4 linked regions of the Caenorhabditis elegans genome follow. The protein of the gene in region 2 purifies or fractionates together with the protein of the main gene of each other region. This does not show direct contact. Each region holds a gene or a part of one and is shown on either strand. Other genes may lie near its edges. The genes, in order: parp-2, arrd-14, twk-36 and gtap-1.

What was found.
Region 1: the proteins of arrd-14 (region 2) and parp-2 fractionate together in Caenorhabditis elegans (co-fractionation; one large-scale study listed by BioGRID). This does not show direct contact.
Region 3: the proteins of arrd-14 (region 2) and twk-36 fractionate together in Caenorhabditis elegans (co-fractionation; one large-scale study listed by BioGRID). This does not show direct contact.
Region 4: the proteins of arrd-14 (region 2) and gtap-1 fractionate together in Caenorhabditis elegans (co-fractionation; one large-scale study listed by BioGRID). This does not show direct contact.

The regions. Positions count from the first base shown.
Region 1 is NC_003280.10:9,591,290-9,595,668, forward strand, and holds parp-2 (Poly [ADP-ribose] polymerase 2), read left to right. Parts: upstream 1-1,747; 5' UTR 1,748-1,757; coding exon 1,758-2,313; intron 2,314-2,357; coding exon 2,358-2,435; intron 2,436-2,526; coding exon 2,527-3,224; intron 3,225-3,273; coding exon 3,274-3,398; intron 3,399-3,445; coding exon 3,446-3,605; 3' UTR 3,606-3,839; downstream 3,840-4,379. Other genes in the region: putative tRNA pseudouridine synthase tag-124, read left to right, coding at 117-162, 214-341, 389-513, 558-795, 845-995, 1,045-1,565; E02H1.5 (uncharacterized protein), read left to right, coding at 3,938-3,995, 4,040-4,264, 4,315-4,379. UniProt on the Caenorhabditis elegans protein: Poly[ADP-ribose] polymerase modifies various nuclear proteins by poly(ADP-ribosyl)ation, a post-translational modification synthesized after DNA damage that appears as an obligatory step in a detection/signaling pathway leading to the reparation of DNA strand breaks and programmed cell death.
Region 2 is NC_003280.10:13,750,774-13,756,767, forward strand, and holds arrd-14 (Arrestin C-terminal-like domain-containing protein), read left to right. Parts: upstream 1-1,542; 5' UTR 1,543-1,546; coding exon 1,547-1,710; intron 1,711-1,769; coding exon 1,770-1,857; intron 1,858-2,935; coding exon 2,936-3,223; intron 3,224-3,821; coding exon 3,822-4,254; intron 4,255-5,292; coding exon 5,293-5,390; 3' UTR 5,391-5,494; downstream 5,495-5,994.
Region 3 is NC_003283.11:17,743,120-17,749,060, forward strand, and holds twk-36 (Potassium channel domain-containing protein), read right to left. Parts: upstream 3,941-5,941; 5' UTR 3,936-3,940; coding exon 3,829-3,935; intron 3,634-3,828; coding exon 3,290-3,633; intron 2,790-3,289; coding exon 2,524-2,789; intron 2,482-2,523; coding exon 2,340-2,481; intron 2,288-2,339; coding exon 2,054-2,287; intron 1,768-2,053; coding exon 1,613-1,767; intron 1,568-1,612; coding exon 1,307-1,567; intron 712-1,306; coding exon 532-711; downstream 1-531. Other genes in the region: R12G8.1 (Phorbol-ester/DAG-type domain-containing protein), read right to left, coding at 4,962-5,281, 5,930-5,941.
Region 4 is NC_003280.10:5,828,155-5,834,814, forward strand, and holds gtap-1 (Dynein heavy chain 7, axonemal), read right to left. Parts: upstream 5,083-6,660; 5' UTR 5,079-5,082; coding exon 5,022-5,078; intron 4,977-5,021; coding exon 4,857-4,976; intron 4,811-4,856; coding exon 4,707-4,810; intron 4,658-4,706; coding exon 4,585-4,657; intron 4,533-4,584; coding exon 4,398-4,532; intron 4,353-4,397; coding exon 3,877-4,352; intron 3,869-3,876; exon of another isoform or gene 3,778-3,868; coding exon of another isoform or gene 2,929-3,777; intron 2,872-2,928; coding exon of another isoform or gene 2,731-2,871; exon of another isoform or gene 2,364-2,730; coding exon 2,033-2,363; intron 1,949-2,032; coding exon 1,778-1,948; intron 1,734-1,777; coding exon 1,613-1,733; intron 1,564-1,612; coding exon 1,391-1,563; intron 1,345-1,390; coding exon 1,160-1,344; intron 803-1,159; coding exon 637-802; 3' UTR 528-636; downstream 1-527. Other genes in the region: ZK1248.11 (E3 SUMO-protein ligase NSE2), read right to left, coding at 1-139, 187-432; col-74 (Nematode cuticle collagen N-terminal domain-containing protein), read left to right, coding at 2,731-2,871, 2,929-3,777; Transmembrane GTPase fzo-1, read right to left, coding at 5,386-5,467, 5,516-5,650, 5,697-6,167, 6,213-6,324, 6,374-6,660.

The sequences.
Region 1 (4,379 bases), 4.2 Mb from region 2:
TCGTGTACTCCTCTCAGACAAACAGAAGTTGCACAATTTTTTGAAATCGATCCCTTTTAATCACTTTTTCCTATTCTTCTAGCGTTTAATTATTTTCTATTGATTTTATTTACACAATGGGGTCAAAAAGAGTATGCCCAGATGCAAATAATTCTGTAAAGTGTAAGTTTTAGGCCTGGGCTGAATATTAAATCTGAAAATAATACTTTTCAGCAAAAAAAGCAAAAACCCTGGATTTTCTCGCTCATCCTCGACGGAAGATTGCAATTCAGTTTTTCTATTTGGGCTGGGAGCATGATGGGCTTGTTCAACAACCGCATACACAAAATACGGTGGAAAATGTAAGAATTCTAAAATACTTTATTTAAATAAATTAAAAATGTTTCAGCATATCATGCAGGCACTAATAAAAACTCATTTAATTGAGGACTGGACGAAATGTGATTTTTCGCGTTGTGGACGGACCGATAAAGGAGTTTCCGCATTTAAACAAACTGCTGCAATGGTTGTTAGGTTTAAAATTTTTTTACTGAACTCGTTCTCATTTCAATTTTCAGATCTCTGTGTCCCGGTGACTCAGGAGTGTTTTGGTCAGATTCTACGCAAGAGCATCAAAAAGTGGACTATAAAGCTAGTGGAGAAGAGCTTCCCTATGTAAAAATGCTCAATGGAGTTCTTCCGAAAACCATCAGAGTCTTCGCCTGGGCTCCTGTCGCGCAAACGTTCAATGCCAGATTCGATTGTAATAGAAGAACATATAAATATTCTTTTGCTAAAGCTGACCTTAACTTAGAGGTTGGTGTATTTTCATTATATTTTTATCTTCAAATTATTATTTATTTAGAAAATGCGTCAGGGCGCGGAGCTATTGGTCGGTGAGCACGATTTTTCGAATTTCTGCCAAATCGATATGAACGAGAAAAGACTGCTGCAGTCTTATGTTAGAAAAGTCTATGAAGTCAAGGTAGAACAAGTATCGACTCATCCAGAAAATGGTATTGTTTATTTATTCAGAGAGTTTAGTTTTGACAAGTAAAACTTTAGATATGTATTCAATGGTGGAGCTCACTGTATCTGGAAGTGGTTTCCTTTGGCATATGATTCGATACATAGTCACGATCCTTCAAGAAATTGGAAGAGAAAATGAACAACCATCATTAATCTCACAGCTTCTTGACCTGAAAAAATATCCGAGCCGGCCGCAGTACACCTTAGCCTCGGACACTCCTCTATGCTTATTCGATTGTGGATATAAATCTGAAGATGTTGAATGGAAAGTTCATGACTATACACTGAAAAGTACAGTGACCGGACTACAAAAAACCTGGGCGACGTATCAGGCGAGAAGTCGAATGATGGAAAATATGCTCGGAGAACTGACTGGAATGGCTGAATTCAGTTCAGGAGATGCCAATAAAGGACTTCACGAATTTGTACAAGATCGTCCGATACCTTCAAATTACATAAGGTTTGAGAATAGGAAAATGTGTGAAAGCCTGGAGAGCAAGAAAGAGAAAATGGCAGAAAAGAAGAAAAATGGAGAAGAATCTTCGGATAAACTATGAGAGTTTAATTGTTTTTTAAGTTATTAATACGGTTTTGTTGTTGATTTTTTTGTTTTTAAAAATATATGTTTCTGTTTTTTGATCAATTTTTTCCTTTTTGTTTGATTTATTGGTTTCTGAAATCCAAATTTATTTCTGAAAATTGTAAGAAGTTGTCTTTATAATCGAATTTCCATTTCCAGCTAGACAGAAATGTCTATAATCAACGACGAAAATGGAAGAGGCTATAAAGTACATCTTTGCAAGACGAATATTGCACAGAACAACAATAAATTTTACGATATGGAATTGTTGGATGAGGGAGGTGATTTCATTGTGAAGCTTATCAATGGACGTATTGGATATCGTGGTGTCACACAATTAAAAGATTTCGATGACCTCGACAGAGCCAAGAAGTTCTTCGAAAGCAAATTCTACGAGAAAACTCATCTTCATTGGGAAGAAAGAGACGATGAACCGGTTCCCAATAAATATGCAGTCGTTGAGTTGGCTACTAACGCAAGACAGACTGAAAAAGAAGTTAAAAAGGAGGAACCGGAACCTGAGCCGAAAGTTGATGAGAAAAATACACGTGGAAGGAAGAAAAGAGGAATTGTTAAAGAAAAGAAAGAAATCAAGAAAGAAGAGGAACCAGTTGAAGAAGTTAATGAAAAGCTGAAGGAATTGATGAAATGCATCTGCGACGAAGATGTTCATCTGGGACTCTTGAAACAACTGAAATTTAACGAAGCTTTTGGAAGACCAATTGGTGAGTTTTAAAAAATCGTATTAAAAAATTAGAGAAAAATTCAGATTGCCTCTCACTTGCCCAACTCACCACTGGATATGAAATTTTGAGTAAGATTGAGGAATCGATTGGAGGAAAATCAGGTATTTTATGAAATTTTGTAAATTTGAAGTTTTAAGTTGAAAAATCTAAATTTAGGCCATTATCTTCCCTGAAAAATGGAAATTCTTTTAGCTCGAAGATCTACTCGTGGCCGGCCACGAGTAGCTGACCGTGTTCTTGCTGTTAAATCCGATGGTCCATCTCTTCACGACATCAACAAATATTATTCTCTCATCCCTCATTCATTTGGTTTCTGTGTTCCTCCAAAAATTGATTCTCATGCTAAAATTCAAGCTGAACGAGAGCTTCTGGATGCACTGAAAGGATCAATTGAAGCATCACTGGAACTGAAGGATTTGAAAAAGACAGCATCGTCGAAGGATATTTATCAAAGACTTTATGAGCGCCTCCCGTGCCATTTGGAGCCAGTTTCGGAAGAAATTGCAGGAAAAATTGGAGACTGCTTGGCTATGCGTGGACCCACTCATTGTTACAAGCTTTCACTCATTGATGCATTCGAGTTAAAGGATCCAAATGAAATTCCAACTGAAGCTCCAGTTGAAGTTCAGGAAGTTCCGAAGAAGAGAGGACGAAAGAGCACAAAGACCGCTGCTCCAACTGTTCCACCACCAACTACAAAACGCCTTCTTTGGCACGGTACTCGTGTGACAAATGTCTTCTCAATCCTCATGAATGGACTTCAGTTCCCAGTTGGAGATCGCTGTGGTCTGATGTTCGGAAATGGAGTTTATTTCGCAAATGTTCCAACTAAATCCGCGAATTACTGTTGCCCAGAGGCTTCAAAGAGAGTTTTCATGCTTCTTTGCGAGGTGAGAAATCCACTGAAAATTTCACAATTTTCAATTTTTTCTATTTCAGGTTGAAACTGCGAACCCATTAGTTCTCTACGAGTCAGAAATTGACGCGGATGAGAAAATGGAAAAAGCGAAAAAGACGTCGGTTTATGCAGCTGGAAAGCACACTCCAAGAGACACTGTTGAAATGTAAATTCTGATTTTTTTCAAAAAATTCTTATCCATGAAATTTTCAGCAATGGAATCCCGGCATTCAAGTCAAATCTTGAGACAATCGAAGAAGAAACTCGTCTTCTCTACGATGAATATGTGATGTTCAACAAGGAACACTTCAAAATAAAATATGTTGTCGAAGTGAAAGTGGATCGTCTTACCGCTAAGGAAATGATGGCTTAAATGCTAATTTCTCATGTAATCTCTCACATTTTATCTGTTTCTACCTCTCCATTTAATTTTCTGATCTGAATTTGTCAAGCTTTTGTAACTTTTTTTAAACCTGTTAATCCAATGATACTCCTCATTTTTTTAAAATCACATTCCTGGAATTTGTTTTTGCTCAAAATCTCATCTTTTTCGGTTTCACTTCATTCATTTTCTGCTCATATCAAAAAACAAATGTATTTTTGAAGCAATTTAAATTTTTCTCTAAAATTCTGAAGGTGTTGCTAATCCTTTTTATATTTTTTGAAGCTGATTTTCACAAGCTTAATCAAAACGATTTTCAGAAAATGTCCAGAAGAAAATTGAGAGCAGTGGAATACGATCGTGACTATATTAATTTCGATGGTAGTATTTCAGAAATTGTTCTACAATAATTAACCAAATTCCAGACGATAATGAGATTCGCCGTCTAATCGTCACTGTCGAAGAAGCCCATCTGAAGTGTCGTGATCAAAATTGGTCTGCTCAGATGCTTGACGAGCAGGATGTAGCTAAATGGACTGTGGAGCTTGAAAAATATTTTACCGAGTTTGGTGCACCGTCTGGATGCTCCAGAGCGGCGGCGATTGACTATGTCTTGAACGCTGCTGTTCAAAAGATTTATGAACAGAAAGGTTTGCAAAATTAGGTGATACGTTTAAATACACGATATCTGTATTTCCAGGCGGTGACACTGAACTCTGCTCGAGTCGGCTCAGAGAACAAGCTGAAAAAGTGCTCGAAGCACAT
Region 2 (5,994 bases):
CCGAGTTTTCCATGAAACTGATTTTTTTTCTAATTCTAAAAAAAACTCAAGCCGCTGGCCGAATTTCACTTCTTCTCGGCCATGTTGCAAATGTCGACCTACTCCGGCCTCCACAGCGTGGCCTAGAAAACTCGGAAGCTCTTCCATGAAGATGATCGGTGGCCGAATTTTTGTGTTTCTTTTCTCGGCCACGTTACAGGAACTCTTCCCCGACGATTTGTCGCTGACAAAAAAAATACGGTGGCCGAGTTTTTTCCTTTTCTAGGCCATGCATGGCCTAGAAAACGCAAAAAACTCTTCCACGTGATTTTTGTGTAGTTCCCGCCAAAGCTACAGTGCCCATTTAAAGGCGCGTTCCGTATTTTTTAAACAAAATCAACCGCTTAGTCACCGATAATCTATTCTTATCACGGATCACATGATCTCCTTTCGGCGGGAAATTCCAAATAATCCTTTTTTTTCTCGTAATTTGATAATAGCGAGGCGTTTTTTTAAAAATTACTTTTTTTGCTTCCCCGGTGCGGGGGCCCAACCCAAAAACGGCAATTTTTGATCAAAAGAGATGAGAATTGAAAAAAGAAGATGAAGAAAGGAAATGACCTCAAACAATAAATGGGGGGAATCTGTTTCCAATCTCATGTCTCTTTTTTTCATGTCAACAGCCATCCCCTGCTGTCCCCTCTACACAGTTACATTTTTGCCCCCGCGCGCGCGCTTTTTGTTTGGTTTTCTCTGGCATTTTCTCAACAAGTTTTCGATATTACCGTGTTGAACACCTCTCCAGGTTTTGTAAAGTAGGTGGCCGAGTTTTTATTTTTCTCGGTCTCGTGTTATTGTGCGCTTTAGCTACATGGCCGAACTTTCTCCTTGTGCTGGCCTGTGTAAAAAGCGGAGTTTTCTAGGTGAACAGAAACAAGTTGGTGGCCGAGTTTTCTCTATATTTTTTTTTCTGTTCAAAATTTGCTCTTACAACAGTAGTTCTGTAAGGTCAACACAAATTGATGGCCGAGTTTTCCCTTTGGCATAGAAAAGTTGGTGGCCGAGTTGTCTCTTCCACGGCCACATGACGTAGCAAACCTGTACACAGAGTACTCTCTATGGCCTAGAAAAAATTTTGGTGGCCGAGTTGTCTCTTCCACGGCCACGTGGCGTAGCCTACCTGTACAAAGAAAACTCTCCGTGGCCTGGAAAAAAGTGTTGGTGGCCGAGTTTTCTCTTCCACGGCCACATGGCGTAGCAGACCTGTGCACAGAATACTCTCCGTGGCCTAGAAAAAAGTGTTGGTGGCCGAGTTTTCTCTTCCACTACCACATGACATAACAGACCTGTGGCCAGAGTACTTTCCGTGGCCTAGAAAAAAAATTGGTGACCGATTTTTCTCATTTTTATATTTTTTTAAATGCATATCATTTACGGCAAACTGTTATAATTCTATCTCAGGAAGTTTTGGAAAAACTCGGCCACGCTGAAACTCGAATTTTCTTCTTACTATGAGCTCACAGTAAGCTATATAAAATCACATTTTTAAGAGTAAATTTCCAGAACCATGACCATAGCCGACTGTGATCCTCAAATTTCATTCGAGAAAGAGGTTTACTTCCCGGGCGATGAGGTCAAAGGCCGTGCGTGGGTGTCTACCACGAAGAACTTGAAGGCGACAAGTGTGGAAATCACGTTTTCCGGAAAAACTATCACTGCTCATAATGGAAAGTTCGTGTTTTTTTTGACAAAAAAAATTCCGGGTATCGAAAAAAAACTTGGTCTTCCAGAAAAATCATCAAGGACAAGAAGTGCAAGAAGGGAGAGGAGACCTATGTGGAGATGAAGCACGAGGTCTGGACTCCGGAGGATACTGAGGTGAGTGGGGAATCTAGTTGACCAGGACTGGGAAAATTAGGCTTGGCTTTTAGGCCTATAGTCCTCGGAGGGTTTTCAATTTGGGAAATTTGCCGTTTTGCAGGTAATTTTTATTTTCGAGCAAATTGCCAAAATGCCGGTTTGCCGAAAACTTTTGGCAATTGCCATTTTTCCCTCGGCAAATCAGCAATTTGCCCGTTTGTCGATTTGCCGGAAATTTTCAATTCCGGCATTTTTCCGCTTTGCCGATTCGCCGGAAATGCTCATTTTCGGCAAGTTGCCAATTTTCAGAATTTTCAATTCCGGCAATTTGCCAATTTTCCGATTTGCCGGAAATTTCCTTTTCGGCAATTTGCAGATTTGCCGATTTACCGGAAATTTCAATTCGAGCAATTTGCCAGAAATTTTTAGTTCCGGCAAATTGCCAATTTTCTGATTTGGCGGAAATTTATATTCCTTCAATTTGCCGGAAATGCTCATTTTCGGCAATTTGCCAATTTTCCGATTTGCCGGAAATTTTTACTTTCGACAAATTGCCAAATTGCCAGTCTGTCGAAAACTTTCGACAATTGCCATTTTTCCGGCAATTTCGGAAAATCAGCAATTTGTCGTTTGTCGTTTTACCGGAAATTTTCAATTCCGGCAATTTGCAGATTTGCCGATTTGCCGGTAATTTTTATTTTCGAGCAAATTGCCAAATTGCCGTTTTGCCGGAAATTTTCTTTTCGGCAATTTGCAGACTTGCCGATTTACCGGAAATTTCAATTCGAGCAATTTGCCAATTTTCCGATTTGCCGGAAATTTTTAGTTCCGGCAAATTGCCAATTTTCTGATTTGGCAGAAATTTAAATTCCTGCAGTTTACCGGAAATGCTCATTTTCGGCAATTTGCCAATTTTCCGATTTGCCGGAAATTTTCTTTTCGGCAAATTGCCAAATTGCCGGTCTGCCGAAAACTCGGCAATTGCCATTTTTCCGGCAAATTCGGCAAATCAGCAATTTGGCCGTTTGTCGATTTGCCGGAAATTTTCAATTTCGGCAATTTGCCGATTTGCCGATTTGCCTATCAATTCTTCCAGAACACCTTCCCATCCGGAGACTACGAGTGGAACTTCTCGTTCGAACTTCCCAAGGACTGCCCACCGAGTTTCGAGGGAAAATACGGCTTCATCAGGTACTCGGTCTTGCTCCACATTGCCGTTCCAAATGGAAAACCCATAAACGTGGAACGAGCCGTCACAGTGTCATCGATGGTCGACCTGAATGCTGTGAATGCACATGAACCGGCAAAGATCCACGTGGACAATGTTGCGGAGTACTGCCACTGCCTGCCGTGCCTGCCGACGAGGGGAAATGTCATTTATACGGTTTGTGCACGTGCTGTCATCAGAATGTCCCATTACGGTTTGATCTACAAAAACGCTGCAATTTTTTTGCCCGAAAAAATGTGACGTCAGCACGTTCTTAACCATGCGAAATCAGTTGAGAACTCTGCGTGTTTTCTCCCGCTTTTTTTGTAGATCAACGTAGATCAAGCCGAAATGAGACACTCTGACACCACGTGTTTGTGTTATTTTTTTACAGCGTTATTAAAAAACACTCCGAAAAAATTTAGATTTTTCATAATTTCCGGTCAAAGTTTTGGCACATTGCCAAAATCACGTGGTGTCAGAGTGCCTCATTTCGGCTTGATCTACGTTGATCTACAAAAAATGCGGGATCTGATTTCGCATGGTTAAGAACGTGCTGACGTCACAATTTTTAAGGGAAAAAGTTTCCCGCACTTTTTGTAGATCAAAAAGAATTTTTTTGGTCGACTTCCAAAAAGACTTCCAAATGAGTGGCAAAAACTGAGAAATTGCCACTTTTTGAGAGTAAATAAAAATCTTCAAAATAATTTTTGAACAGTTTTTTTTAGGATATTCGGTCATTTTGGCACCATATTCGGCATAATCGATTTTGCAGCTTCAATCTCCAAAATGTGGTTATGTCGCAGGCGAGAATGTAATTGTGTCAGGACAAATCGAGAACGGAACCTCAAAACCCATGAAAATCATCACTGCGAAACTAACAAGAAGAATCACATATCGCGAGGAGCTCAAGGCAAAAGCCAACGCAAAGAAGAAGGCTGATGGAGCCGACGGGTTCAAGTCGAAGCTCGAGGAGCAGATCCTTGAGACGAAAATCGAACGATGCAATGTTCCGGCGAGATCCAGCAAGGATTTCGCCTTCTCCTTTGATATTCCGGCTGTAGTGAGCACAATTCGTTCCTCGAGGCTTCTAGCGGTGGAGTACTTTGTGACAGTCTGGGGAGATACTGGAACGTGTAACCGGGGAGGAGTAGCTGCATTGAATATTATCGTTGGGAATGTTCCGCTGTTTTTAGGCAGCTCTTCACGTAAGTTTTAGCCAGAATTAAGAAAAAGTTGAGAAAAAGATGAGAAGTTCAGAAGCCACTCTGGTACAGGGGTGTGCGGCAAAATTTGAAATTTGCCGAACTCGACAAACTCGGCAAGTCCACATTTTTGAAATTTGCAAAGCTTGGCAAACGACAAGCTCGGCAAATTCTGCAAATTTGCCGCACATCCGTGCTTTGATAGAATCGAACGAAAACTAGTGAACTCAGTTTTCCCATTAATTTTTGCACTTTTTGAGCTCCAAGAAATATTGCCTCTTTTGGTAGATCATAGAAGGTCCCGGGCATTCTTGTCATATTACGGCGCGCCGCGGTTTCATCTAGTTTGCCGGTTTGCCGGAAATTTTTATTTTCGGCAAATTGCCGGTTTGTCGATTTGCCGAAAATTTTCACTTCCGGCAGTTTGCCGGTAATTTTCAATTCCGGCATTTGACCTATTTGCCTATTAACCGGAAATTTTAATTCTGGCACTTTGCCGATTTGCCAGAAATTTTCAATTCCGGCAATTTGCCGGTTTGCCGGAAATTTTCAATTCCGGTAATTTGCCAGAAATTTTAAATTCCTGCAAAGTGGCGCTTTTCCGATTTGCCAGAAAATTTAAATTCCTGCAAAGTGCCGGGTTTCCAAAAATTTTCAATTCCGGCAATGTGCCGGTTTGACGGAAATTTTCAATTCCGGCAATTTGCCAGAAATATTCAACACCTGCAATTTGTCGGTTTGCCAATTTGCCAAAAATGCTCAATTCCGGCAACTTGCCGATTTTCCGGAAATTTTCAATTCCGACAATTTGCCGGAAATTTTCAATTCCGGCCAATTGCCAGAAATTTTCAATTCCGGCAATTTGCTGATTTGCCGGAAATCTCAATTATGGCAATTTGCCGATTCTCCGATTGCCAGAAATTTTCCGGAAAAAAACCTATATGCACCTCTGCTGACAATTTTTGGCAATAAATAAACTAATTTTCCGGTCAAAATCACTGAAACATGAGCACTCAAATATAAACAAACTCTATTTTCCAGTACCCCCACGCAAATTCGTCGATGGAGAAGATGCGCAGAGCTGGACGGTCGATATGAAGCCGGTGTTCACCTATCAAGTGCCGTATTATGGGCATTGAGGTCTTCTGTCTTCCCTGAGCTTATAAAATACCATTGTTATCACATGCTGCTATTCCGTTTGTTTCTTTTGATGGAATTCATTTTTAATAAAAGCATTTGTTTGACATCTATAAAAAAGTATCTTCTAGCAATTTAATTGCACTAGGCTGTTCTCAGAATACCCTCCAACAAAATGGGTTTCTCATTTTCGTTCTTTTTTCCCTTTTTTTCGACGTCTCTTTCCGTTTTCTCTGTTTCTCAGCACTCTTTCCGTCCATTTATCAAGGGTTCGTGCGTCCTCTGCCGGCATCAAACCACACACACACACACACACACACATTTTTTGTTCAATACCTTCTAAAATAGTGTAACTAACAAGAAATTAACAATAGGAATTGAGGTTTCAGGGATTTAGGCTAGAGTTTAGTTTTTTTTTTTTTTTTTTTTAGTTCTTTAGTTTTTTTTTTACTTAACAGTTTTGTCTGAGGAAATATTTTTCTGAGTAGTGTGTGTTAGTCACCCCGATTTTGCATTTATTCCTAACAAATATATAATAGGCTGGGTTTTGAAATTCTATTTAAAAAAAAACTGGTCCTATAAAAACGGACGATGAAATTAATGAAT
Region 3 (5,941 bases), on a different chromosome or scaffold from region 2:
ATAAAAAAGCATATTCTAATCTTCAAAGCCGAAAAGTTTCTGATAAGGAAATCCGCAAAAAAAGAAAAGATCAGAACAAATTCACATAATAAATAAAAAACCAGAATCAACGAACATCTGGAAAAGTGATACGGATGCCCATGACTGATGAATGATGATGAGGGGAAGGAGAAAATGATGTGAAACAAGGCAATGTAGAGAAGGCAATTAACACTAAGTTTCACTATAATTATGCTTCTCTTCTTCAGGCGCCGCCTTTTTGGTTTCCGCTACGGTTTCATCCCCCTATGCAATAATTTCACTTTTTTCGTCGGCTAAATTACGTGGCCGATGGTCTGTAATTGTCCAGAAATGCAACATATTTGTATATTTGTACTTGAGGACACTAAAGAGAAAGTTAATTTCCACAAGTGGACATATTATTTTTGTTCCCAGTTCGCTTTTTTCATTTCATTTTCATTTTTCCCTGGAATGACGCCAGAACAATCTTGGATCTTTGATGGTCGAAAAAGAAAAGGTTTGAAAAATTTATTATGGTAAGGGTCTGACCCAAGGTACAGTATGTAAAGCATTAGAGCTCATAAGGTCTCCTCTTCTTAGTTGAACTCTTCCGAATCCTCCACCATAGACGTCATGGTTGGAACGCATGAATGTGGCAATTGATCGGACGGTGAAGGTGTTCATCATCTCGTTTCGGCGGCGGTTGATTACCTGAAAGTATGAGGCTTAGGCATATGCTTAGGCTTAGGTTCAGGCTTAGGCTTAGTCTGAAGCTTAGGCTCATGCTCAGGCTTAGGCTTAGGCTCAGGCTTAGAACTAGGCTTTGGCTTTGGCTTTGGCTTAGGCTTAGGCTTCGGCTTAGGGTTAGGTCTAGGCTTAGGCTTTGGTTAATCTTAGGCTTAGGCTTAGGCTTAGGCTCAGGCTTAATCTTACTCTTAGGCTTAGGCTCAGGCTTGGCGTCAGTGGCGAGCGTTGGCTCGCTACTGACGCTATTTAGGCTTTGGATTTTCCGGTTTTTTTATTATTTTTGAGGGGGTTCCTGTTGGCCGATTATCCTTAGGTACTAGAAACTCGAGAAATTAAGCTTAGGCTCAGGCTTATGCTTAGGCTTTGGCTTAAGCTTAGGCTTAGACTCTGGCCTAAACTTAAGCTGAGGCTTATTCTCAAGCTCATGTTCAGACTTTAAATAACGCTTCCAACGTTATCAGTTTTACCCACTTTTTCTCACTTGATTCTTTTACTTTTCAGAGTGACTATAGTTCCAAATTATGCAATAATATGTTCTCTGATCTTCTGCTTGACTTACCCCATCATCCGATCCACTATCCGAGTCCCCATCAAATCCACGTGGCTCTTTTGAATCCACGGACTCTGCTGAAGACCCTGATGATGTTGATCTGACAGTTTTTACACCAGGTTTCCGTTCCGTCAAGAGCATGCTAATCTTGGTTTCCGCCAAGGTCATCAGGCCAAAAACCCCATTTTCCACTGCAATAAATGTTGCTCGATTCACAACTTTTGTGACTGCCATGCCGATGAAAAATATCATCGAGACCGGCGGGGCGTACTGAAATTTTGAAATTAAGCAACACAAAAGGTACAAAAAGCTTACCGGAACATTATTTGGCATCACATCGCCTAGACCAATAGTTGTGAGAGAGATGAAAGAGAAGTAGAATGCGGTGAAGTACGGTAGGCCGTCGTCCCATTCCGGGCCCATAACGGCGTCGTAGAGGTACACGAACGTGGTGCAGAGGAGGAGGTAGGCTGGAAAGTTGGAACCGAGGATGGGTAAGGTTGGAGACCGCGGGCTAAATGATGGCCTGAACCATGTAAGACTCGTCTTCAAGGACAGTTAGAGAGCCTAGGTAGCCTAGGCTTGCCTGGCTGACTCTAGGAAGTTTCGACGAGGTTAGAATGTCTAACAAACTATGGATAGCCTAGTCAAGCTCAGGTATCTTAAACAAAGTCGGGTACATGCTAGCTCTGAGCATTTTGACGCTACAGGAGCTACTTCTAAGATCTTCGAAGCTTCAGAGGTCTTTCCGCTAACCTATCAGAATAGTCATACAAAACTTGATGGGCAGCTGTATAATCTCATCCTCATCGACTTCTCGCTTTCCACGAATCCTCCTCACCGCTGTCAACCCGTGCGCGTACAATTTTGTGAAATTCACCAAGAACATCTGGCCTAGATCCCTTAAGATCACCAGTGTCACCGGTACAAAACAAAATGCGTAGATCATTGTGAAAAGCTGACCGCTGAAGGTTTGAGCTGAGATTGAACCTGGAACCTTGGAATTAATTGGGCTGAAGTTACAGAAAATTGGATCAGGTACCATAACCGGTAGTTGTGTAAACATTCATACTGAAGAAAAATGCGCTTGAAAATGTCCATTTGAGATTGTCAGGGTGCTCTAGACGATAGTATGTGCTCCATTTGTATTGCTCCTCGTGTTTTTGCAGGGAAATGTAGGATTCCTGAAATGACAATCCCGGCAAGCTTTCTCAAAACCACCATACTTTTATAAACTCCTTCATCCTCTGATGCTCAGAACTTTGCTCCGGGTCATTGACGGCTTCTGAGAGCACAGTTGCTAGCTCATCCAACAACTTATCTAGGTTTTGCTCCCGAACATGCAGTCTCGATTTCTCATTCGAACCCTCTATCAGATAAAACACCGTCGCCCCTAAAAGTGTGTAGATCAACGCCAAAACCAGCAAAGCTATGTAGCGGAGCCCGAACTTTTTTCGGTGCATTGCGAACCAGTAGAAGGATTTGTCGAATTCTGGAAAAAAATTTTAGTCGGTGAGGGCGAAATCTAGTTTTTAAAAAAATTGAAAATTCTTTAAATTTTTCTGGGAACATTTGAAATTCTCGTCAAAATTTTAAAGAAAATTTGAATTTCCCGCCAAAACTTTTCAGGAAAACTTGAAATTATTTTTTAAAAATTCTGAAAAGTCTTGCCGTTCCTGCTGAATTATTTGAGAAAATGTGAATGTAAAATACATTTTTTGAAAAAAAAAATCTCTGAGAAATTTTGAATTTCTCGCCGAAGTTTTCTTATTAAAAATTCGATGTTCCGCCAAATTTTTTCGAAAAAATGTGAATTTTCCGCCCAATCATCTAGTGAAGTTTAAAATTTAAAAGAATCATCTTTATAAAACTTGAACTTCTTGCTCAAAAATTTAAATTTTCCGCCAACATTTTCTGCTAAACTTTTAATTTGTCGTATAAACATCTTGATAGCTTTTAGGAAATTGTAGTTTTTTTTTGAAACTGACTTACGCCTTTCCTGAGGTAACATTGGCATTTCCATTGGCTCACTGGCTCGCGGAGCACTTTTCTGACTAATTGAAGCTTTATCCACTTGAAATCTGTTCGCCGAAATGTTCCTGGGAAGTTTTTGGTAAGTTTCCTGATTTCCTGTTACAGTATAATGATTTTTCTGATAATATTGAGAGATTGGATTCTGGTTTTCAGATTTTTCAGATTTTCCAGCATCCATCTCATAAGTGACCCGATGCCTAGCCACTTCATCCACGGAGGTGCTCCGTTGAGCCGGTAAGTGGTTGGAGCTGGTGTTTCGGGATCCTGGGAGGGTTAGGACACTGGCATTGCTTTGGTTGCGGCTGGAAATCGGAAATTAAACAATTTTGGAATTTTTCGAATTAAAAAAAAAAAATTTTTTGAAATTTTTTTTTTTTGGAATTTTTTTTTGAAAATATTTTTGAAATTATTCAAGTTTTTGAAAATTTATACACTTTTCCCTGGTTTTTCTTATTTTCCCAAAAATTAATTAAATGTTTTCATTAAAACCAACAAACCTCAAACCGGGCCCTTCGAGCACATGCTGCACGGTATCTTTCCGCTCCACCGTATACTTCTGACTCAAAATACTCTTTAACCCGTCTTTTTCAGAAGTTACGGTCATTTTTTACATGGAATTGACAAAAAAGTATGAAATGAACACATAGAACAGACGTCAACGGACGACGATTTAAAATGCAAATTTGGTGGGGGTTTTCAGACTAAAACTACACTGAAAACGAATATTTTAACTTTTATATGGTATGTATGACATAATTGAGTGTGAAAAGTTTATTTTTACACTGAAAAAACTTTAAAATAACGAAAGAAAACGTTTTAATCGAATTTTCGAGAAAATTTCCGAATGGAGCAGTGGGATTCTGAATTTATTCCAATCAAACGTCCGGGGTTCGAGTCCGCACAGGGGTATTTATTTTTTGCAAGCTGTGATTTACAAGTTTATAGCTGCAAAAGTGATTTTTATCGAATTTTTAGGAAAATGTCCGAATGGCACAGTGGGATTTTCCATGTCTATCAATCAGAGGTCCGGGGTTCGAGTCCACACAGGGGTATTTATTTTTTGCAAGCTTTAGAAATTGAGGTTCGAGTTGGGAAATTCATTTTTAGCGAATTTTCAGGAAAATGTCCTAATGACGCAGTGGGATTTTTAGTGTCTTTCAATCAGATGTCAGTGGTTCGAGTCCGCACAGGGGTATTTATTTTTTGCAAGCTGTGATTAACAAGTTTATAGCTGCAAAAGTCATTTTAATCGAACTTTCGGGAAAGTGTCCGATTGGCGCAGTGGGATTTTCAACGTCTTCCAATCAAACGGCTGGGGTTCGAGTCCGCACAAGGGTATTTATTTTTTGCAAGCTGTGATTAACAAATTTCAAGCTGCAAAAGTCATTTTAATCGAACTTTCGGGAAAGTGTCCGATTGGCGCAGTGGGATTTTTAATGTCTTCCAATCAGAGGTCCGTGGTTCAAACCCGCACAGTGACAAATATTTTTGTTATGATGTTTATGAGCCTCAATTGTAACTATAATAACTTTATTCCGGAAAACAATATGAGTTTATGACTGATTATCAAATTTAACTTTCTCCAATTTTCTTCATTTTTCTTTATTTTTTTTCTCAATTTTTTCAATATTTATTGACACTGAATTCCACAATTCCTCAAAACCTTTTCCTGGCATCGAAAATGAACATTTGCATGACAATCCGTGCACTGAACGCCTTGCTTCGTGAGCCCATAGAGCATACTTCCACAGTGATCACAAAATGTCGGGCGAGTGAAGAAATGCTTGTTAAAGTGATGAGTATTTGATGGAGGTTCTTCCGAAGCAGATCGGCTACGACGAGTTTTCAGATTTGTAGTTTCAGCAGGAACCGGAGCTCGGGAAGATGGTCCGAAGGTGCAGCGGGCGGTGATGAGGGCATGGCACCGCTTATGAACGACTGTCTCACAGCCTGGAAAATGAAATATGAACTAATATTCACTAGAAATCAGGTTCCGTGCTTAAAATCTAGCTTTTGCCTAATTTTTGAGAAAATGCACCAATGGCTCAGTGGGATTTTCCAGAACTATCGCGCACAAGTCCGGGGTTCAAGCCCGCCATGTGGTCAAATATTTTTGTACGCAGTGTTTAGACATATAAAGACCAGCTTGTAAATGAACAAACGATTTTACAGGTTTTAAGGAAAAAGTGCCCGAATGGCGCAGTGGGATTTTCGAGAACAACAAATCTTACGACCAGGGTTCGAGTCCGACCTGTGGTCAAATATTTTTTTTTTCGAATTTCTAAAATATTTTTGGGTATTTCAGACACGTGGAATTCAAATTTCTATATGTCCGAGCGTAAAAGTTTTAAGAAATCGTTGAAAATAGACTTTCAAAACTCGTGAAAGTTGTAAAATTGTTTAAAATCCAAAACTGTTACATCGAAATTAGAAATTATATATTGAAATTAGTGTTTCTCTTATTATGATCATTTTTACAAGTTTTCAAAAAAAATGCCCGAATGGCGCAGTGGGTTTTTCCAAAAACTACCAAGCACACCACCGGGGTTCGAGCCCATGAGGTGGCAAAATTTTTTTTGTACCCTTCAACTAACTCACCTAGACACTTGT
Region 4 (6,660 bases), 7.9 Mb from region 2:
GCATCACTTCCATTTCATTTTCATCGTTTTTACTTTCATCCCTTATAGATTTGATAATGTCTTTGAAGTACTGTCGCTCGCCTTTCACATTTTTATGGGTTTTTTTCGCCTTCTCGTATAACTCCTCCAATGCTTTTTCCTGCAAAATTATTATTAATATAATTTGTTTAAATATCTGCAACGTACATTCGGAACCTCGTCTGAACCATCTTTCAGGTCATTATGCAACGCTTCAAAAATGTGTTGCATTTGAGCACCTTCAGTCTCCAATTCCATCAACTTCATTGCATCTTTCATCAATGTTTCTTTGAATTCTTCAGAATCTACTTCATTTGAAATAGCATTTTTTGAATTGATATGAAGAACATCCTCAGCAGCCTTTCTCAGACTTTTTCGAATAATTTCCATACTAGTGGCGAGCTGGGTAGACATCTGGAAGGGATTTCACAACTTATTGAACTTCTAAATAACAAAAAAAGATAATTCAAAAATCGTTATATACGAATAACATTAGCCTACAAATGAACATTTAAAATTTAAAATTTTTTATTGAATTAACCCATATTTTCAGAAAGTGATTATGCATGAAAATTTTGAACATAAGGCGATAAAAACCAGGCAGTGAATAAGAAGTGATTAGGTACCCATATTCAATTTTCCTATTCGGACAGAAAGATGGAAAAATATGGAATCTTTGTCGTTTCCCCAAGCTTCGTGTAGAGAAAGCAGCTTTTGTAAAGTAATTCGAACACTTGTTTCACATCGATCCAAATAGTCAAGATCCAACGTGTTGGAGACTGATCTGAAAATAGTAATTTTTCATTTTAAAAAGCTCAATCAAAAAAGCTGCAGTCATGGCTGTAAATGTTTTTTTTTTTGGAAAAAAATACGAAAAATTATGCTTCACAAAACAATTTTGAGTAGAAAAAAATTAAAGTCGAAATTTTAAAAGAAAGTACAATTTTGGTCAACTTGTTTTAGATTTTCAAAATGAAGTTTCAAACTTAATAATTCTTAGTTTTGGTTTTTTGTTGCTTTTTTTGTGTTTTCGGTGGAAAAACTTTTTGATCTGATCTGAAAGTTGAAATTTAAATCCAATGGCATTGAAAGTGCCAAAATATTAATTTAAATGTTTGCATTTAATAATTGTATAACTTACCGTAACCGTATCTCATCTGTCATAGTCATAAACATATCCATATTTTCATGAACCAATCGTCTGATTCCAATGCGTACAACAAGATCTGAGAGCTTCTTGTGACCATCTGTAATCGCATTTTCCACCTGCTTCAAGCTTGTTGCATTCACAATTTGATCACGTGCCGTTCGAAATACATAGCGAACCTGGAAAAGGATATTTGAAAATTATAAAAAAGATATTTAAGAAAACCTTATCAGAGAACAACTCTCTGAAATGTGACACAACTTGTTCGAGTGTGAATACAAAGAAACGAAGTTTTGTTCTAAGTGCTCGATTCATTTTCTCGATTGCATTCGTTTTGTGATGAGCGAGAGAAACATCGATTGTGGATTGTGGACATTTCATTCGAGATAGTAGTTCTTCTGAAACAAAAAATGTAAAATTACATCCTTGACCGGTTGAAAAGCTCACTGTCATTAGCCATCGTAACTAGCAATTCTCTGGTTCGATATGCGCTGTGTGCAAACTTCATACACTGATTCATGACGTCAATAACTTCGGGACGAATGAATGAAGCCAGCATATGCTCGAGCTGAAAAACATTTAATTTTCAAAATTTTATTCCAATGCTAATACCTTGCATGTGAATTCAGATTTTGTTGAAATCCATGAGAATATATTCATATTTTCCTTACTCATCCGACCTCTCGATGCCAACCAAAATGCATCAGCAAAGTTGGTAACATTGGAATCTGATCGGAAGACTGTTGTTGCATATTGCTGTGAAATCGAACCAATGACAACATTCTGAAAGAAAAAGTTTTTGTCAGACACCCATCAATTCTCCGAACTGATAATATTTTTTTTTATCAGTAAATTTAAATCACATGCCTCTAAGTCGACCCACAAGTTGACAAATCGGTTGTTTCTATGTAATTCATTGAGTAGCTCTTGTGCAAACTGATCCTGAAGTAGGAGACATGTATCAAAAAATAGAGATCGGAATTCATCAAATGGTAGAAGATCTTCAGTGAATTTAGCTGCGGCTCGTAATGAATCAAATGCATTCGTGAATGTTTTGACTGGAAATTCAATTAATCCAACACGGATCCGACATTTGACTGCTTCAAGAATGATTTCAATCAGTTCTTCATCCCAAAGTAACGATTGAACTTCTTTGATATCTCGACAAAGTAGAATTTGAGCATCCGGTTTGACGTCACTAAAAATAAAGTTTTAAATTAGTATTTACGGAGTTTTCGTTATAATTTTCAGATTATTTTGATTATTAGTAACATTTCAAACACCATCACTAATCACTTATTCTCCACACCCTGATATCAACCCGTTTATCTCATGGCCATTCTAGCGGAAATAAGTGAAATATGCAAATATCTCTCTAGATATCTCTTCCGAATATGCAATATTTCGCATGGAAATCAAATTAAAAAACGCTGGAGAAATTTGAGAATTGACATGATGGAATTTTTGGAGGAAATTCTGAAAACAGGTTGAATGATGAATGACCATAGCTAGAAAAAAGTATAAAAAGCAATGAGAGAAATCTGATAATTATGTCAAGTCTGAATATGACGTCGACAGCTACTGCATACGCGGCTATTACCGTCGGACTCGTTTCGATCGGATTCATTCTTTTTGCTGTTCAAGGTATCAGCTCCAACATCGAAGATATCCGAAATGAGATGAATATTGAGATGGATGCATGGAAGGTAAGTAAATATAAAGTCCGTTATATGTTATATAGTAATAAAAATGTGAAATTTTAGTTTGAAACTGACAGTCTCTATCGTGATATGCAAAAGTTCGGCCGTGTTAAACGTCAGTATGGAGGATATGGAGCTTCTGGAGCCAACCCAACACCTCACGGTGGATTCCCAGGAGGCGCATCCCCAATGAATCCAGGAAGCTTCCCAGGAGTTGTCGGAGTGCCACCACAATTCAACCCAACACAAGGAGGAGAACCAAATCCAGGAGGATCTTGCAACTGCCAGGCTGACAATTCGTGCCCAGCTGGACCAGCTGGACCAAAGGGAGCTCAAGGATCTGACGGAATCGACGGAATTCCAGGAGTGCCAGGAATCGATGGACAGGATGCTGACGATGCTCAAGCTCAAACTCAACAATATGCAGGATGCTTCACTTGCCCACAGGGACCACAAGGACCACAAGGACCACAAGGAAAGCCAGGAGTTCGTGGAATGCGTGGAGCTCGCGGACAAGGAGCCATGCCAGGACGTGACGGAACTCCAGGACAGCCAGGAAGCCTCGGACCAGTCGGACCAGTCGGACCACAAGGAGAACCAGGATCAGAAGGAGAACCAGGAGCTGATGTCGAACATCAAGTCGGACTTCCAGGACCAAAGGGAATTTCTGGACCAACTGGACAACCAGGAGATCAAGGACCACAAGGAGATACCGGAGCTCAAGGTATTCCAGGAGCACCAGGAGAGCGTGGACCACGTGGAGACAAGGGAGATAATGGAGAGAACGGTTCTGCTGGAGCACCAGGAGAGGAGGGAGAGCCAGGAACTGATGCCGAATATTGTCCATGTCCTCAAAGACAGGAAAGTGCACCAGTCAATGGAAACCAGGGATACAAGAACAGACGTCATTAGATGCGATTATTTATTTTTCTTCTCTTAAATATTTATATAAATTTTTCAAGCAAGAATCTTACGTTTTAAAACTTTAAAAATCATAAAATTGAAACTCACTTGTGCAAAACAAAATAGTCGATAGCTGCAGGAACTCTTCCAATTTCGAAAATATGATCCATAATTGACAACAAAGCGCGAATCCATTTATTTTGTAACAACTTGACAACATCCCTCTTCTTTGCGATGGCATCCATTTGTGTTAACAGGAATACACGATTCCAAGAGTTTTCAATATCTTCCCATAACCAAATATGTCTTCCAACATCATCGCCAATCACTGCTCTCACTATTTCCACCTCTTCCATATTTTTATTTAGTCGAGCCAATGTCTGTAAAGGATCTTCCAGTCGCTCAGCACGAAGTTCGTCGAGATGACAAGCGTGATCTCTAAGAAATTGTTTCACCCAATCACAGAGTACAGTAATCAGTGTCGGAAGCATCAGTTGACTGTGTTCTTCACATCTCTCCACAAATTCACATATTTCGTTAAGCTTCCGATGAGTTCGAGTGAGGTGGTCGGCCAGTGTTCGTAGCTAAAATAACTTAAATAATTGATAGAAGAAATATTAAAAATTTACATAAGATTTTTGAATATTCGCATACGGAGATTCCATTGGAAAATAATAATCCGAGTTCACTTCAAGACCACCAGACGTCAATCTGTATAGAGGCATCGACACACGATCAGTGCATATTCTTCGTTGAGTATTTTTCTGAATTATAACGTTTATTTTTGATAAAAATTATTTTAGTTTTTGAACTAACTTTAACAGGTAAATCAATAAAGTCGATGAGATGAACAGCGAGCCGTTGTTGAGTGAGCAAATAACTGTCTGTTCTCAAAATAAAATGATTAATATTCGTTTTTGAAAATCCGAATTTCTTACCCATTTCTTTGATGTTCCATACTCTTTCTGTACTCTTGACATCGTTTTACATTGCTATCATGAAACTTTTTTATTTGATGATTCTTACGAGATGAGTTGAACTTCTAAAAAAAAACAGTTTATAAAAAGTTTTCGTTCATCTTCAATTACCTGTAGAACAGCTGGAAACGGATCTCTAGGTGTCGTGAGACATACTGCAGAATCAGCACGTGAGATGTCTCCGCTTCCTCCTTCGTCACGATCTTCTAGACAAGAATTGTAGAACATTGTCTGAAATTTGTTCTAACTATTTCTATATTTGGTTCCCTACAGTACCTCCTGCGTGCATTGATCGAATTCCACAGAAATTCCAACATCGTCGTCTTCATTCATACCTGAATTATATTTTCCTATTTTCAAATACCACAACACATAAATAGAAATTCTGATGAATATAAATACAGATAATTGAATATCTTCTCAAAAATCAAACGACAAAAATTTATTCGAATTATTATTCGTCTCATAGAAGTATCATAATCAAAACACTAAAACTACTGAAATTGTCTAGAAATAACGAGAAAACAGCTCATCAAAATATCTACATTGAACCGATTACCAATCGTTCGAATTAAAAGCTATAGGACTGAGTGAATAAGGGGAAAAGCACCAAAATTAGTTAAATTCAGACTAGTCATTTTCATGGCGTTGGCGGAGAGTCCGATCGGAGATAAGAAGATGCAAATTGTTCGAGATTTCGGAGAAGAAACACTGCTTTTCCTCTGAAAATTAATTTTATTAATTCTTGACACAGATCTAAGAGGACATACTTGATTGTTCCCAATGTTCGAATTGTTGAATCAACTGCATCAATTTGTGTCTTCTGTACATCCAAATCGTTTTTCATTTCTCTATGGACTCCACCAACAGTTGCTTTCAATCCGTCAAAGACTTGGTCCATTTCTCTGAAAACAACAAATTGAATTGAAAACTATACGGTTTAAAAAATACCTGATAGCTTGTGTTTCACAGTGATGAGTATGAGCTGTTGAAACTTGTTGCATTCGAGCAGCTAAATGTGATCTGAACTGTTCTTTCAAATGTTGTTCCTTGGCTCCCGAATTCCAGCGCATTCGTTCCCATGCATATAGTCCAGCGTAGGCCGCTCCTCCGACAGCAATTACTCTCCAACCAACAGCCTTATACACAATACCACCAACAACTAGCACTCCAAGACTTCCGTTTGCTAAAAATGCGGCTGATGTCAAAACCATTTGAGTCATCATTGCCTGTTCTTCGGAAGCTGCAGAAGCTTCTGCATCTCTCACTGAATTCTTTTCGGATTGTTGTTTTAGTGATAATGGAGTAAGCAAATTGGTGTTGATTGCAGTGACAGGTTGGCCGCTTCGATACGCAATGATGCGACGAATTATTGCGTGTAGACCAAATGTGAATCGGAACTCGAGGTCTTCATGGAAATCACTGAAAAATGTAAGAATGAAACACAAAAAATCCATCGAAACTCACTTGACAAGAGCAGGGACATCGACACAAATGCTAAATTTGAAAGGAGCACGATATCGCCACACTTCTTCAAGCTTATTCTGATAAGGTTCGGCGAGGATTTTTGTCACATATTCTGGAAAAAAAATTTTTTATAACACATCAGTTCCCAGATAAACACTTACGGAACATATCATTCTCCAAATTCCAAATTCTTGACATTAGGCCACCGGTACATCTAGCTTCCAAATCACTGCTCAAACATTTGTCCACAAAGATTGCCAAATCCTCTTTATACTTTGTCATTCCGGAAGAGCTTCCATCGAAAGGTTGTTCAAATCGATCAATTATTGCATCAAGTCGTGCTATTTCTTCAAAGAAATCAGCAGAAACTTTCAGATGAACTTCGGCTCGCAGTTGCTCTGTCTGCTCACGGTAAGCTTTTTCAAATTGAGTGAAGTTTACACGGCAT